3 linked regions of the Ovis aries genome follow. The protein of the gene in region 2 purifies or fractionates together with the protein of the main gene of each other region. This does not show direct contact. Links are inferred from orthologs where the notes say so. Each region holds a gene or a part of one and is shown on either strand. Other genes may lie near its edges.

What was found.
Region 1: the proteins of SNCA (region 2) and clusterin purify together in Homo sapiens (affinity purification with western blotting; 3 studies listed by BioGRID and IntAct, with this or other methods). This does not show direct contact. The link is inferred for Ovis aries from reciprocal best matches to the Homo sapiens genes SNCA and CLU.
Region 3: the proteins of SNCA (region 2) and SLC6A3 purify together in Homo sapiens (affinity purification with western blotting; 6 studies listed by BioGRID and IntAct, with this or other methods). This does not show direct contact. The link is inferred for Ovis aries from reciprocal best matches to the Homo sapiens genes SNCA and SLC6A3.

The regions. Positions count from the first base shown.
Region 1 is NC_056055.1:102,020,552-102,024,197, forward strand, and holds part of clusterin, read right to left. Parts: intron 3,531-3,646; coding exon 3,122-3,530; intron 1,317-3,121; coding exon 1,215-1,316; intron 1-1,214.
Region 2 is NC_056059.1:35,535,312-35,539,714, reverse strand, and holds the start of SNCA (alpha-synuclein), read right to left. Parts: upstream 2,928-4,403; coding exon 2,807-2,927; intron 1-2,806. UniProt on the Homo sapiens protein: Neuronal protein that plays several roles in synaptic activity such as regulation of synaptic vesicle trafficking and subsequent neurotransmitter release.
Region 3 is NC_056069.1:71,107,660-71,111,305, reverse strand, and holds part of SLC6A3 (sodium-dependent dopamine transporter), read right to left. Parts: intron 3,338-3,646; coding exon 3,206-3,337; intron 1-3,205. UniProt on the Homo sapiens protein: Mediates sodium- and chloride-dependent transport of dopamine. Also mediates sodium- and chloride-dependent transport of norepinephrine (also known as noradrenaline). Regulator of light-dependent retinal hyaloid vessel regression, downstream of OPN5 signaling.

The sequences.
Region 1 (3,646 bases), on a different chromosome or scaffold from region 2:
CAGTGGCTTCTAAAATCACAGCACTGAGACTAGAAATGTTTAACTAGACTCTGAAGGGCTGCCCAGGCACCGAAAAGAATTAAATGCAAAGCAAACATCATTACCACCTCCCCCCCACAACCCCGACACACCAACCGGGATCGATTCACTCAGTACAGGGAAATAATTAACTCCTTCCTTCCAGGCATAGACTTTTGTGAGCCAGGAAGTTTTGTGTGTCAACTGCTTTTATAGCTGTTGACCTCCAAATAGAAAGAATTCAGTCCCCTTGGTAAAACAGAAAGCAACAGCGGAAAAGAGCTATTTCCTCTAACTCAGGGACCAACCAACCACAGGGAAGGTGGCCAGAAAGCGAAGGTACCCCAAGGAGAGACCATATGTTCAGGGCAGAGAACACAGCAGCCCTGGTGGGGAACACCTCCCAAACATCCCCTCAGGAGGGGCATCCAGTAATCTTGGCAGGTCATCAAACCTCTAACTCAGTCTCCTCCTCTGTAAGAAAAGCAGCCACCCGTTATTCTAGGGAGAAGAGTAAATGTTTGTAAGTGTTGAGAAGAAGGGTATTTAGTAACAAACACACGGCAAGAGTTTAATAGTCTCCGTGCTGTTGAAGCACTTCCTCGATGTCTCAGTGGTAAAGAATCTGCCTGTCCATACAGGAGACTTGAGTTCAATCCCTGGGTTGGGAAGATCCCTTGAAGTAGGAAATGGCAACCCACTCCAGTATTCTTGCCTTGGAAATCCCATGGTCAGAGGAGCCTGGTGGGCTACAGTCCATGGGTTGCAAAGAGTCAGAAACAACTTAGCGACAAAACAACAGAACAACAACAACATACTTTCTAAATTTTCGTCTGCAGCCAAAAAAGAAGACGTATACTAGGTTTGACCCCTGGGAATAGACTAACTGGAGGAAGTCACAGGATGACAGCTTTGTAGAAAGCACAGCCACCGCTCCCACAGTCAGCCTGTTAACCATGAGCTGATGTGATAAGTATTCTGTCTCCTGACCTCAGGGACAACTCTGCATCTTAACCCTCAACCCCAGATGGGGATCCAGGCAGAGCCGAGCAAAGGACAGTCCCCCTCACCTAAAAGCCACAGCTGGAAGGCAGCAGAGCTGGCATTAAACTCCCACCCACCTGAGCCCCTCAAGGCAACCCCAGTGAGGTGCTGGGGACCTGAAGACACAGGAGACCAGGGGGCCCCTGACTCACCCACTTCCAGGATCTCCTGGCACTTCTCACACTGGTCCTTCATCCGCAGGCATCCCGTGGAGTTGTGGCGGATCTCCTTACACACAGTGCGGTCGTTGTTTTCTGGGAACACACGGGGACAAGTCACACAGAGCAACATGGGCTGCCCCCATCTCTCTGGGCCCTTCCACACCACTGTCAGGCCCTTTGAGATGATTCTGCGGGCAGAGCAGGTTAGCATCTGGCTGTCTGCCTGAAGACCGCTGGTCTTCCAGGCTCGGACCAGCAGCGAGACTCCCTGCAGTGGGACCAGGAGGTGGCTCCCGGGCCCCCCTGAGCTGGGCATGGCCACCCTCTCATCTCCTTCACCGGCTGACACCTCTCCCACCTCCACACTCCCTTAGCTGTGTGTACTTCTCTTTGGTATCATAACCCGTTTTGCTCTGCATTCTGTCTTGTCTTGTTTCTCTCCCCCTGGCCAGGCAGCAAGCTCCTTGAAGGCAGGAGTAAGATTTACCTTGGAACCTCCTTATAACACAGGGCCTGGGTTGGGAAGATCCCCTGGAGAAGGAAATGGCAACCCACTCCAGTATTCTTGCCTGGAGAATCCCATGGATGGAGAAGCCTGGTGGGCTACAGTCCATAGGGTCACAAAGAGTCGGACACGACTGAGCGACTTCACTTCACTTCACCACCACCCCACCCCTCTCAACCTTATGGATATGCAGGAAATGCTTGTTCAGGTCAATTTGTTGTTTAGCTGCTAAGCTGTGTCAGATTCTTTTGCGACCCCATGGGCTGTAGCCTGCCAGGGTCCTCAGTCCATGGGCTTCTCCAAGCAAGAATACTGGAGCAGGTTGACACTTCTTTTTCCAAGGAATCTTCCCAACTCAGGGGTTGAGCCCACGTCTCCTGCATTGGCAGGTGAGTTCTTCAACACTGAGCCACCAGGGAAACCTGTTTAAGTCAGCACCCTCCCGCACTTCCAATCCATTACAAGCCAGAACCCAGTGCTGGCCCAGCCGTAGCATTTAGGCGATGGGGTTGGCCAACCAGAGTCTATTGGTTCAATGAAAGAAATCACATCTAAAAGTTTCGGCTTTTCGTGTCCATGTTAGAGTTCATTCATTCAAAAGATACTCGCTATGTGCCCATTCTCTACCAGACCCTAAGGTTATAGCCACAAACAGCTTTCTTAACTGTACAGTGAGCTGATTATATAATTCATTGCCAATATATGCATGGCATCCATATAAAGCACCTGAGTTCCCAAGACAAAGGGGTCTAGCCCTCAAGGGCAGTGGTCCACAACCTTTTTGGTTCAAGGGGTCAGTTTTGTGGAAGACAATTTTCCCATGGACCAGGGAGGGGGTGGGTGGGGGATGGTTTCAGGATGATTCAGGAGCATTACATTTATCGTGCATTTTATGCCTATTACTATTACACCAGCTCCACCTCAGATCAGCAGGCATTAAATCCCAGAGGCTGGGGATCCCTACCCTAGAGGAAATAGTGTCATGCCCACCAGTTGTTGGAAGGAGCCTGGAAAATTCAAAAGAATACCAGAGTTACAAGTCCTGTAGGGCTAGATTTGACCATCCCGGGGGATTTCCCAAACCAGGGATCAAACCTACATCTCCTGCATTGCAGGCCGATTTTTTACAGCTGAGCCAACAGGGATGTCTGTGAACCTTTGGGCATGTTCCTACACTCCCTGTCAAACAGGGATGGTAGCCCCCTCCCCAGGTTGCTCTTTGGGGGATTCAGACGATACAGGCCAAGTCCTGGGCACAGATCTGAGCATCTAAGGCTCCCTCCCTCCACACTTCCTTAGCTCCTTAGCTATTCGTACGTCTCGTCAGCATCACAGCCTGTGTGACTAGGTTAAGCATCTCAAAGAACTGAGTTTTCATCCCCCTCCTTCTCACCTGTAAATTCCGTCACGGGGAAGTGGTAGGGAGTCCTCTGCAGGTGGGCGTCCATGGCCTGCTGGGCCTGGCGGATCATGTCGTAGAAGGGCTGAAACACATCGTGGAAGTTGAGGGGTTCCAACAAGGGGAAAGGCATCACGTTCCGGGCAAAGCGGGACTTGGGATTGAAGAAGAGTGACCCCCTTGGGAACGAGCTGAAGGGGGAGTAGTATTGAGTGTCCTGGGGCCTCCGGGGGAAGAACCGGTCCTGGAAGAGCTCGTCCATGATGCTGGACGCCCGGGTGAAGCTGTCCTCCATGACATCCATCACATGGCTCTGCTCCCGATCATTCTCCATCAGGGAATCGATGCGGTCACCGTTGATCCAGAAGTAGAAGGGGGAGCTCTGGTTTAGGAACTCCTCGAGCTGTGGCAGGAGATGGGGGATAGTCAGGGATGCTTCCCCTTTTGTCAAGATGGGCCAGGCCCACCCCAGCTGCATCTGGGACATCTCAGAGTCACAGCCGAGGGTGGAAGGCCCAG
Region 2 (4,403 bases):
TCTTTGTGACCCCATGGACTGTAGCCTACCAGGCTTCCCTGTCCACGGGATTCTCCAGGCAAGAATACTGGAGTGGATTGCCATTCCACATTCATCCAAACTCACAGAATGTATTGCAGCAAGAGTGATCCTTAATGGAAGCTATGGAGTTCGGATGATCATGATGTGTCAATGTAGGTTCAGCAGTTGTAATGAATGTACCATCTGGTAAAGGATGTTGGTAATTTGAGAGGTTATGCATGTGTGGGGTTTGGGGTACATGGGAAACCTCTATATATCAATTTTTCTGTTAATTTAAAACATAAAAATTAAGTCTTTAATTTTTTAAAAGTATGCCTTTTTACTTATAGGTTCGGCTTTATTATGATGTTCTCACAAGAACTCTACAGGGTACTTGCATGTATTCAAACTGTATTTTTACAAATGAGTAAAGTGATGCTTAGATATGTTAAGTACCTTTCCATTATCCTAGAGGTTAAAAAGTGCTGTAGTCTGGACTGGAATTCAAGTTTGACATCAAATCTACATTTTTTTCCTACTTTATCAGGAGTCAGTAAACTATAGCTTATGAGCCAAATAAACTCTCCAGCTGTTTTGGTAAGTAAAGTTTTATAGGAACATAGTCACCCTAATTATTGTTTATGGCTGCTTTCACTTCAGGAGAGCAAAGCTGATCAGCTGAAACAGACATCATACCCTAAAATTATTCACTACCCCTTTAGGGAAAAAGCTTGCCAAAACCTGGTAGTACTATAACTTCACAAGGTCATACTTCATCCTGAATTATGTATTTGTGTTCAACTTTTAATTGACTTTAAAATATCAACTGATAAATAGTATATAGAATGCACTCTGTTAAATACCATAATGAACACTGAAGATTATTTTTTAAAATATGTATACATAAACAAATTGAAATTTCATATAATAATCTCAGAGAAAACAACAGAATTAATCTCTAAAAAATTGTTATTTTATTTGCCCAAACTCATGGGTGAAAATGAAAACAAGTACAATGTTTTCCAGATGATAATCCTGCTTATTACCTGGAAAACAGCACCATGTTAATTTAATAGTCAGTGGTTCTTGGACTCATTCAAAACTAATAAATCAATATTATCCAACTAAAAATATCTTAAAAGTAACTAAGCTATAAAGTAACTGAAATCAAGGAATGGTTACAAAGCATGCACTTGTACAACTTGGAACACTGAGGACAAATATAAAAATACTGATTATCTAAATGTCACTGATTCAGTATTCCAAATTCCACCTAAAAAGATACAATCCACATTTCACAAGAAAAAAACTGAGTTTAACTCATTGACTTTTCCCTCTTGTAAGATCTTTCAATTCAATGATTTTCTGAAAATACATTTTAAGATAAAGAGTAATTTAACTAGAGGTTTGTGGTAAGATTGAACCAAAATAAAAAGTCTATGAACAGTGAGAAAAAATATGAGAAATATTCATAAAAATCATTCCAAGTATAACTTTTCTCCAGTCCATCTCTATTGAAGAGACGATATAGCTTTCCTTCACCCCACAGACATAGACAGAGTATTCTACACAATCCATTATGCTCATCCTCCACTTTATTACTCATCCTTTGGCTACTGGTGCTACACCTGCTACCAGAGAATGTGAGGAAAAGGAGGAAAAGCTCAGAGGAGAAAAGAGAATGGGCAGTGTGTGAGTGTATGCTCATGTGCCCGTTTGTATCCCTATAGATGAGTGTGTGTCTATGTGTATGCCTATTTCTTCACCCAAAGAATTCCAGGTGACTTGTAAAACAACACCCAACCTAACACAGTTCAAGATTAAAAAAAAAGAGTAGGGCTTCCCTGATAGCTCAGTTGGTAAAGAATCTGCCTGCAACGCAGGAGACCCTGGTTTGATTCCTGGGTCAGGAAGAGCCTCTGGAAAAGGGATAGGCTACCCACTCAAGCATTTTTGGGCTTCCCTTGTGGCTCAGCGGGTAAAGAATCCAGTTGAAATGTGGGAGACCTGGGTTCAATCCCTGGGGAGATCTGGGTTCAATCCCTAGGTTGGGAAGATCCCCTGGAGAAGGAAAATGTTATCCACTCCAGTATTCTAACCTGGAGAATCTCCATGGACAGTCCATGGGATCACAAAGTATTAGACAGGATGGAGCAACTTTCACTTCACTGCAAGAATACTCTGATGTGGGAATTTATAAACAAGGAAAAACAGTAAGCATCTAATTTATTGTATCATTTGATAAATGAACTATATAAATGTCTCAGAGATATTAGCAGCCTTCAAGCACTTTCTTGAGCTTAGTCCCCAACTTACCAAGTGGTCACAAGAAGTAACTCCAAAGACTTGTCTGTCCTTTTCTTTTTAGAGTCACAGTAGGTCTCTCTTTACATATCTCAAGATTATATCAACGTCTTACTTTTAAATTAGAATACACTGAAGTTAGCATATATTATTCATGAAGATAAATCAAAAGCTCATGGAGGAGTTTGATTTTAAGATACTATTGAATATTTTCTGAGACTGAGTTTTTAAAAGTGTCCTCAGAGCTATAGTTACTTATGCATAGAAACATTCATTTAAAAAAAGAAAGTCCTAAATATTACTGCAAAATTAAATAGTCTGGAAAAACAAAATAGCCCCACTTTGTATATTAGCTCAAACACACACATTCACCTACTTACACACACCTCTGATTCAGCCCATCACTTTGAGGAGTGGTGAGAAATACCAGCATTTAAAGCATCAATCATCCTAACCCATCAATCCCAAATAAATATCAAAGTGACATTTAGGGCTTACCTACCTACATAGAGAACACCCTCTTTTGTCTTTCCTGCTGCTTCTGCCACACCCTGCTTGGTTTTTTCAGCAGCAGCCACGACTCCTTCCTTGGCCTTTGAAAGTCCTTTCATGAAAACATCCATGGCTAACGAATTCCTTTACACCACACTGGAGAAGACAAAATACACTTTAAGAACTTCTGCGTAAAAAACAAAATTAGAACCACCCAAAGTAAAAACTATTGAAAGATCAGTAGAATCCTCAAAAGAGTGAGATTCTCTTAAGTGTACCTCCATTTCAACCACTGGACAAAGGAGGCTTTTCTTAGCTTTTGCATTAAAAATTTAGCATCTCCCATCCATCTTGGCTGGATAAAGTCTAGCCGCCTAAACATGGATTAGGATGAATCATATGAGCTGTTCTTACGCGTTTCCGAAGTGGAATTGCACGGAAAGATAGACTCCTCTTTTAACTTCCCAGGGTCCAAATGGTGACAGTATAAGTTAGAAGTGCGTTTAGAAGACATCACAGGAAAAGGAAAGGGACCTGAAGGCAGGGGGTCAGGGACACGCTTACATTCCAAAAGGCAGCTAACAGATCAATCACGAATAGGGGAGGGAAGGAACCACTCACTCTGGGTGTGGCTGAACCTCAGGCCAACTGCGAGCCCACCGCCCTCGCTCTAATTCACCCAACCATGCACCCGACCCTGGGCTATCAACCCAGAGCGTGCAGGAGGGCGCGAGTTCACAACCACGGAAGCCTCAGGAGGCGCGCCAGCCACCCGTGGGGGCGTTCTCAGCGCCTGGAACCCGCCCCCTACCCTGCGCCGCACCTGTTAACCCCTTATCACCTGTTGACTCGCCCTCTCAGCGCTCCCACTTAACGATTTGCCAAACATAGCTTGTTTACTTCACAGAGAGAACAGAGAGGGCGGACTAGAGGCGGGGGGCGGTTAAGGAAAGCGACAAACAAAAGTTGAATACTCATACTCCCTGGAGCATCCTCGCGTTTCCCAAAGGAGAAGCTTATCCCTGAGAATCCAGACCTCTCGGCCTCTGAGGACGAGAAGAGGGAAGCAGTCGAAGCAGGAGGCAAACAGGTCAGTTGCCTTTCCTCACGCTCACCCTAGGGATAAGCACTCACCTCTGAGAGAGGCTCGACTACAGCTGGTCCTCGCGGCAGCACGCCCACCCCACCCCCGCGCGCCCCGGGGCGCCCGCAACGACTCTTCTCCCACCAGGTGTTCTCCACGACTTCCAAAGCTGCCCAGTTAGTTCCACAAGCACTTACCAGATTTCCTCGGCTCCACGAACTCCAATTTCTCCCCCACCCCCACTTAAAAAATTTAAAAAACAATTCCCAAATGTTATTTAAGTGGGAAGAGAGAGGATAAAGAGCGCACAGGAAGGGTGGAGGCGGCACCAGAAGAGGGATGGTTCCCAGAGGAGGCGGCTGTCAGCACAAGCCTGCGCTGGGAGGCGGGGAGCGTGGGACGCAAACCCACAAACCTGCCGTCGAATTGCCACTCCTCGTCCCCCGCACGAGAGGATTCGAGAGAAGAAGGCAGAAGGTCGGAAGGGAAGGGTTGGGGGGTGAGGGGAGCGGGGAAGAGCGCC
Region 3 (3,646 bases), on a different chromosome or scaffold from region 2:
GCCACTCACAGCCACCTCACTAACCATCCCTCTCCCAGGCCAGTCAGGGCAGACAGAGGCATCTGGGTCCACCCAGCATCACCCAGGTCCATGCATGACCACCCAGAATCTCCCGGGGTCGTGCTTGACCACGCAGAGCCCCCTGGGCCTGTCAGAGTGCCCTGGGCAGGGTCACAAGACCTGGAATTTGGGAGAGTCGCTGAGGGGCTCCTGACCGCTGGAGCAGAACGGAGGGGCGAGCAGTCTTTGGAGCCATGTCATCCTGACCGTGGTGGACGGCTGGTCTGCGGTAAGACCTCTGTCCTGTTCGGTGCTGGACAAGCACTGCTGCGTCCCGCTACTGTGGTTCAGCTTACCCAGCTCCACACAGACTTCTCTCATTTCCACATTCTTTCCCGGCTTTGCTGCTGGGACTGGCTTGGGCATCAGTATCCTGGAACCTCGTAGGCACGGCCCGGTCCTGCCTGCCTGTGGCCAGGAGGAGCTTATCTTCACAGTGACTTTTGCAGGGAGCGCGTTGGCTTGTTTTCTGTGGGTCTAACCCTCCTTGTTTGTTGTTGTTCAATTATTAAGTCATGTCTGACTCTCTGAGACCCCATGGTTGAGCACGCCAGGCTCCTCTGTCCTTCACCATCTCCCAGAGTTTGCTCAGGTTCATGTCCGCTGAGTCGGTGATGCCATCCAACCATCTCTGCTGCACCCTTCTCCTCCTGCCTTCAATCTTTCCCAGCATCAGGGTCTTTTCCAATGAGTACATTCTTCGCATCAGGTGGCCAAAGTACCGGAGCTTCAGCTTTAGCATCAGTCCTTCCAATGAACGTTCAGGACGGATTTCCTTTAGGATGGACTGGTTTGATCTCCTTCCTGTCCAAGGGGCTCTCAAGCATCAATTCTTTGGTGCTCAGCCTTCTTTATGGTCCAATTCTCACATCCGTACACGAATAGAAAAGCCATAGGTTTGACTATAGGGACTTTTTCGGCAAAGTGATGTCTTTGCTTTTCAATACGCTGTCTTGGTTTGTCATAGCTTTTCTGACCCTTAGGAGAAGCTATTTTCCTGCTCAGGACACTTCATTAAAACTCTCTTCCTACCCTGAAAGCAGAAAGAGTGACTCCAGTTTGCTTATGGGCAGACATTAAACAGATCCAGTACCAGGAGTGATTCCCCCGGTGCCTCAGTGGTAAAGAATCTGCCTGCAATGCAGGAGCGACAGGAGATCTGGGTTCAGACCCTGGGTCAGGAAGATCCCTGGAGAAGGAAACGGAGACCCACTCCAGTGTTCTTGAGTGGCAAGTCCCACGGACAGGGGAGCCTGGCGGGCTATATACAGTCCATGGGGTCACAAAGAGTCAGACACGACTGGAGTGACTCGTACACAGCACAGACAGGCCCTGGTGCACGGTCCCTCTCGGGAGACATGCTCAGTAGCAGCGATGACAAGATCTATGCTGTCCCTACCAAAGCCCTCCTCTGGGGTGGACCCCGTCCTTGGGGAATAATTTCTCACTGCACTTCTGTCCCCTGTGCTCCCCGGGAGAAGCTGGCTCACAGTGGACTCGCCTGGCAGCCTCAGAATCAGGAAGCCACGCGGCTTCCGAGCACCTCTCAGAAGCTTCCTGGCCATGAGCTAGCTGTCGGTGGCTGCTGAAAATCTCCAGAAGGTGACGACTCTGTTCACCAAACCCTCCGCTTGTGGCCTGGGGGACTCGGAGCTGCCTTTGGCCAAACGCCAGAGCAGATCCAGCCCCGTGTCCCAGGGAGAGTGGCCTGAGCCTCTGGTCCTTCTGCCCCAGGGCTGCGTGCACAGCCAACCCCCGGGACGGCCAGGTTGCTCACGGTCACAGCAGAGTGATGAGGGCACCTGGGGCTGACGCGGCTCCCCGGGGACGTGCGCTTTGCCCCTCAGCAGCAGCACAGCTGCCCGGAGGCAGAAGGGCGGCAGACATGGAAACAGAAGATGGATCGGTAGACGCGCTAAGTCAGATAAGCGGGCGGATGATAGACAGCTGATACGTGACAGATGGACAAGGCAGACCCACGGAGAGCGATGGCCGGGCGCACAGGTGGGAGGCAGAGGGCGCTGCAGGTTGGACTGTGGCCTCCAACGTGGAAGAGTTTTGTAACCCCCAGTACTTCAGAATGTGATCTTACTGAAGGCAGGGTCTTCACAGAGGAAAATCAAGTCAGGGTGGGCCCTAGTTCACTGCGAATGATGTCCCCATAAACAGGGAAGCCTGGGCGAAGAGACACCCGTGAAGACGCAGGGAGAAGACGGCCCCCGAGACCCCAGGAGCGAGGCTGGGAGCAGGCCCGGCCCCCTCTCCCCAGCCGCAGAAGGAACCAACCAGCACCCTTGAGTTCAGACCTTGGAGCTTCGACACAACAAACGTCTGTCATTTAAGCCACTTGGCTTGCGGCGCTCTGTATGGCAGCCCCAGCAAACCAGCGCAGATGACAGACAGTCGATCACAGAACTGCAGACAGGAGGCTGTGTTACCGTTTCTACCGTGTTAGCACTTTGACAAAACACCACCGCCCAGGAACTGCAGGCTGGCTTCGCCTGGGAGCAAGGACACACGCTCGCAAACCCTCGGTCATTAAAAGGATGTGTCCAAGTGCCTAGACACCCAGCAAAGCAGCACAGAATACACACAGCTGTGGCTGACCGGCTATGCGATCACCCAAGCCGGGCCCCGGCCGCGCCCCGCCCCCCCGTCCCTGGCCCACGCCCCTGCCCCCCGCCCCCGGCCCACGCCAGCCCACCGCGCACCCTGGCCCACACTCTGCCAGGCACGTGGGGCGTCCCCGCCGTGCCCCGCCATGCCCCGCCGTGCCCCCAGCCACGCCCCTGCCCCATATCCCGCCCCGGCCCCGCCCCCTCCCTGGCCCACGCCCAGCTGCGCCCTGGCCACGCCCAGCCGCGCCCTGGCCACGCCCCTGCCCCATATCCCGCCCCGCCCCGCCCCCCCCGTCCCTGGCCCACGCCCAGCCGCGCCCCGGCCACGCCCCTGCCCCATATCCGGCCCCGCCCCCCGTCCCTGGCCCACGCCCGGCCCCGCCCCGGCCCCGCCCAGCCGCGCCCTGGCCACGCCCCTGCCCCATATCCCGCCCCGGCCCCGCCCCCAGTCCCTGGCCCACGCCCCCGCCCCCCGCCCCCGGCCCACGCCAGGCCACCGCGCACCCTGGCCCGCACTCCGCCGTTACCTCTCAGGATGGGGCAGATCTTCCAGACGCCCGCCGCCCCCTCTCTGTTGAACTGCCCGAGGGCCAGCTCCATGAAGAACAGCGGCACGCCGGCGACGACCATGAAGAAGAGGTAGGGCACCAGGAAGGCACCTGGGGACGCGACAGCGCGCTCAGCCTGGACCGAGGACGCGCCAGCCCGGTGCCACCCCAGCAGGTGCGCCGCCGTCCACGCGCGTCCCGGGCACGACCGCTGTCAGCCTTCTTCGAAGCTCCCTGCAGGCTGGGCCTCCTGCATCTGTGCCTGGCTCCCGCTGTCACCGCACCCTGACACATCCCTCTGGGGACCGCCGCCCCCAGGCACGCGCAGCAACCGAGAGCAGAGCGGGCCAGCTGGGCCCGGGGCAGCTCTGCTCCTCACTGCTCTCTGCTCTCCACCTGCCCAGCCCTGGGTCCCCTCTC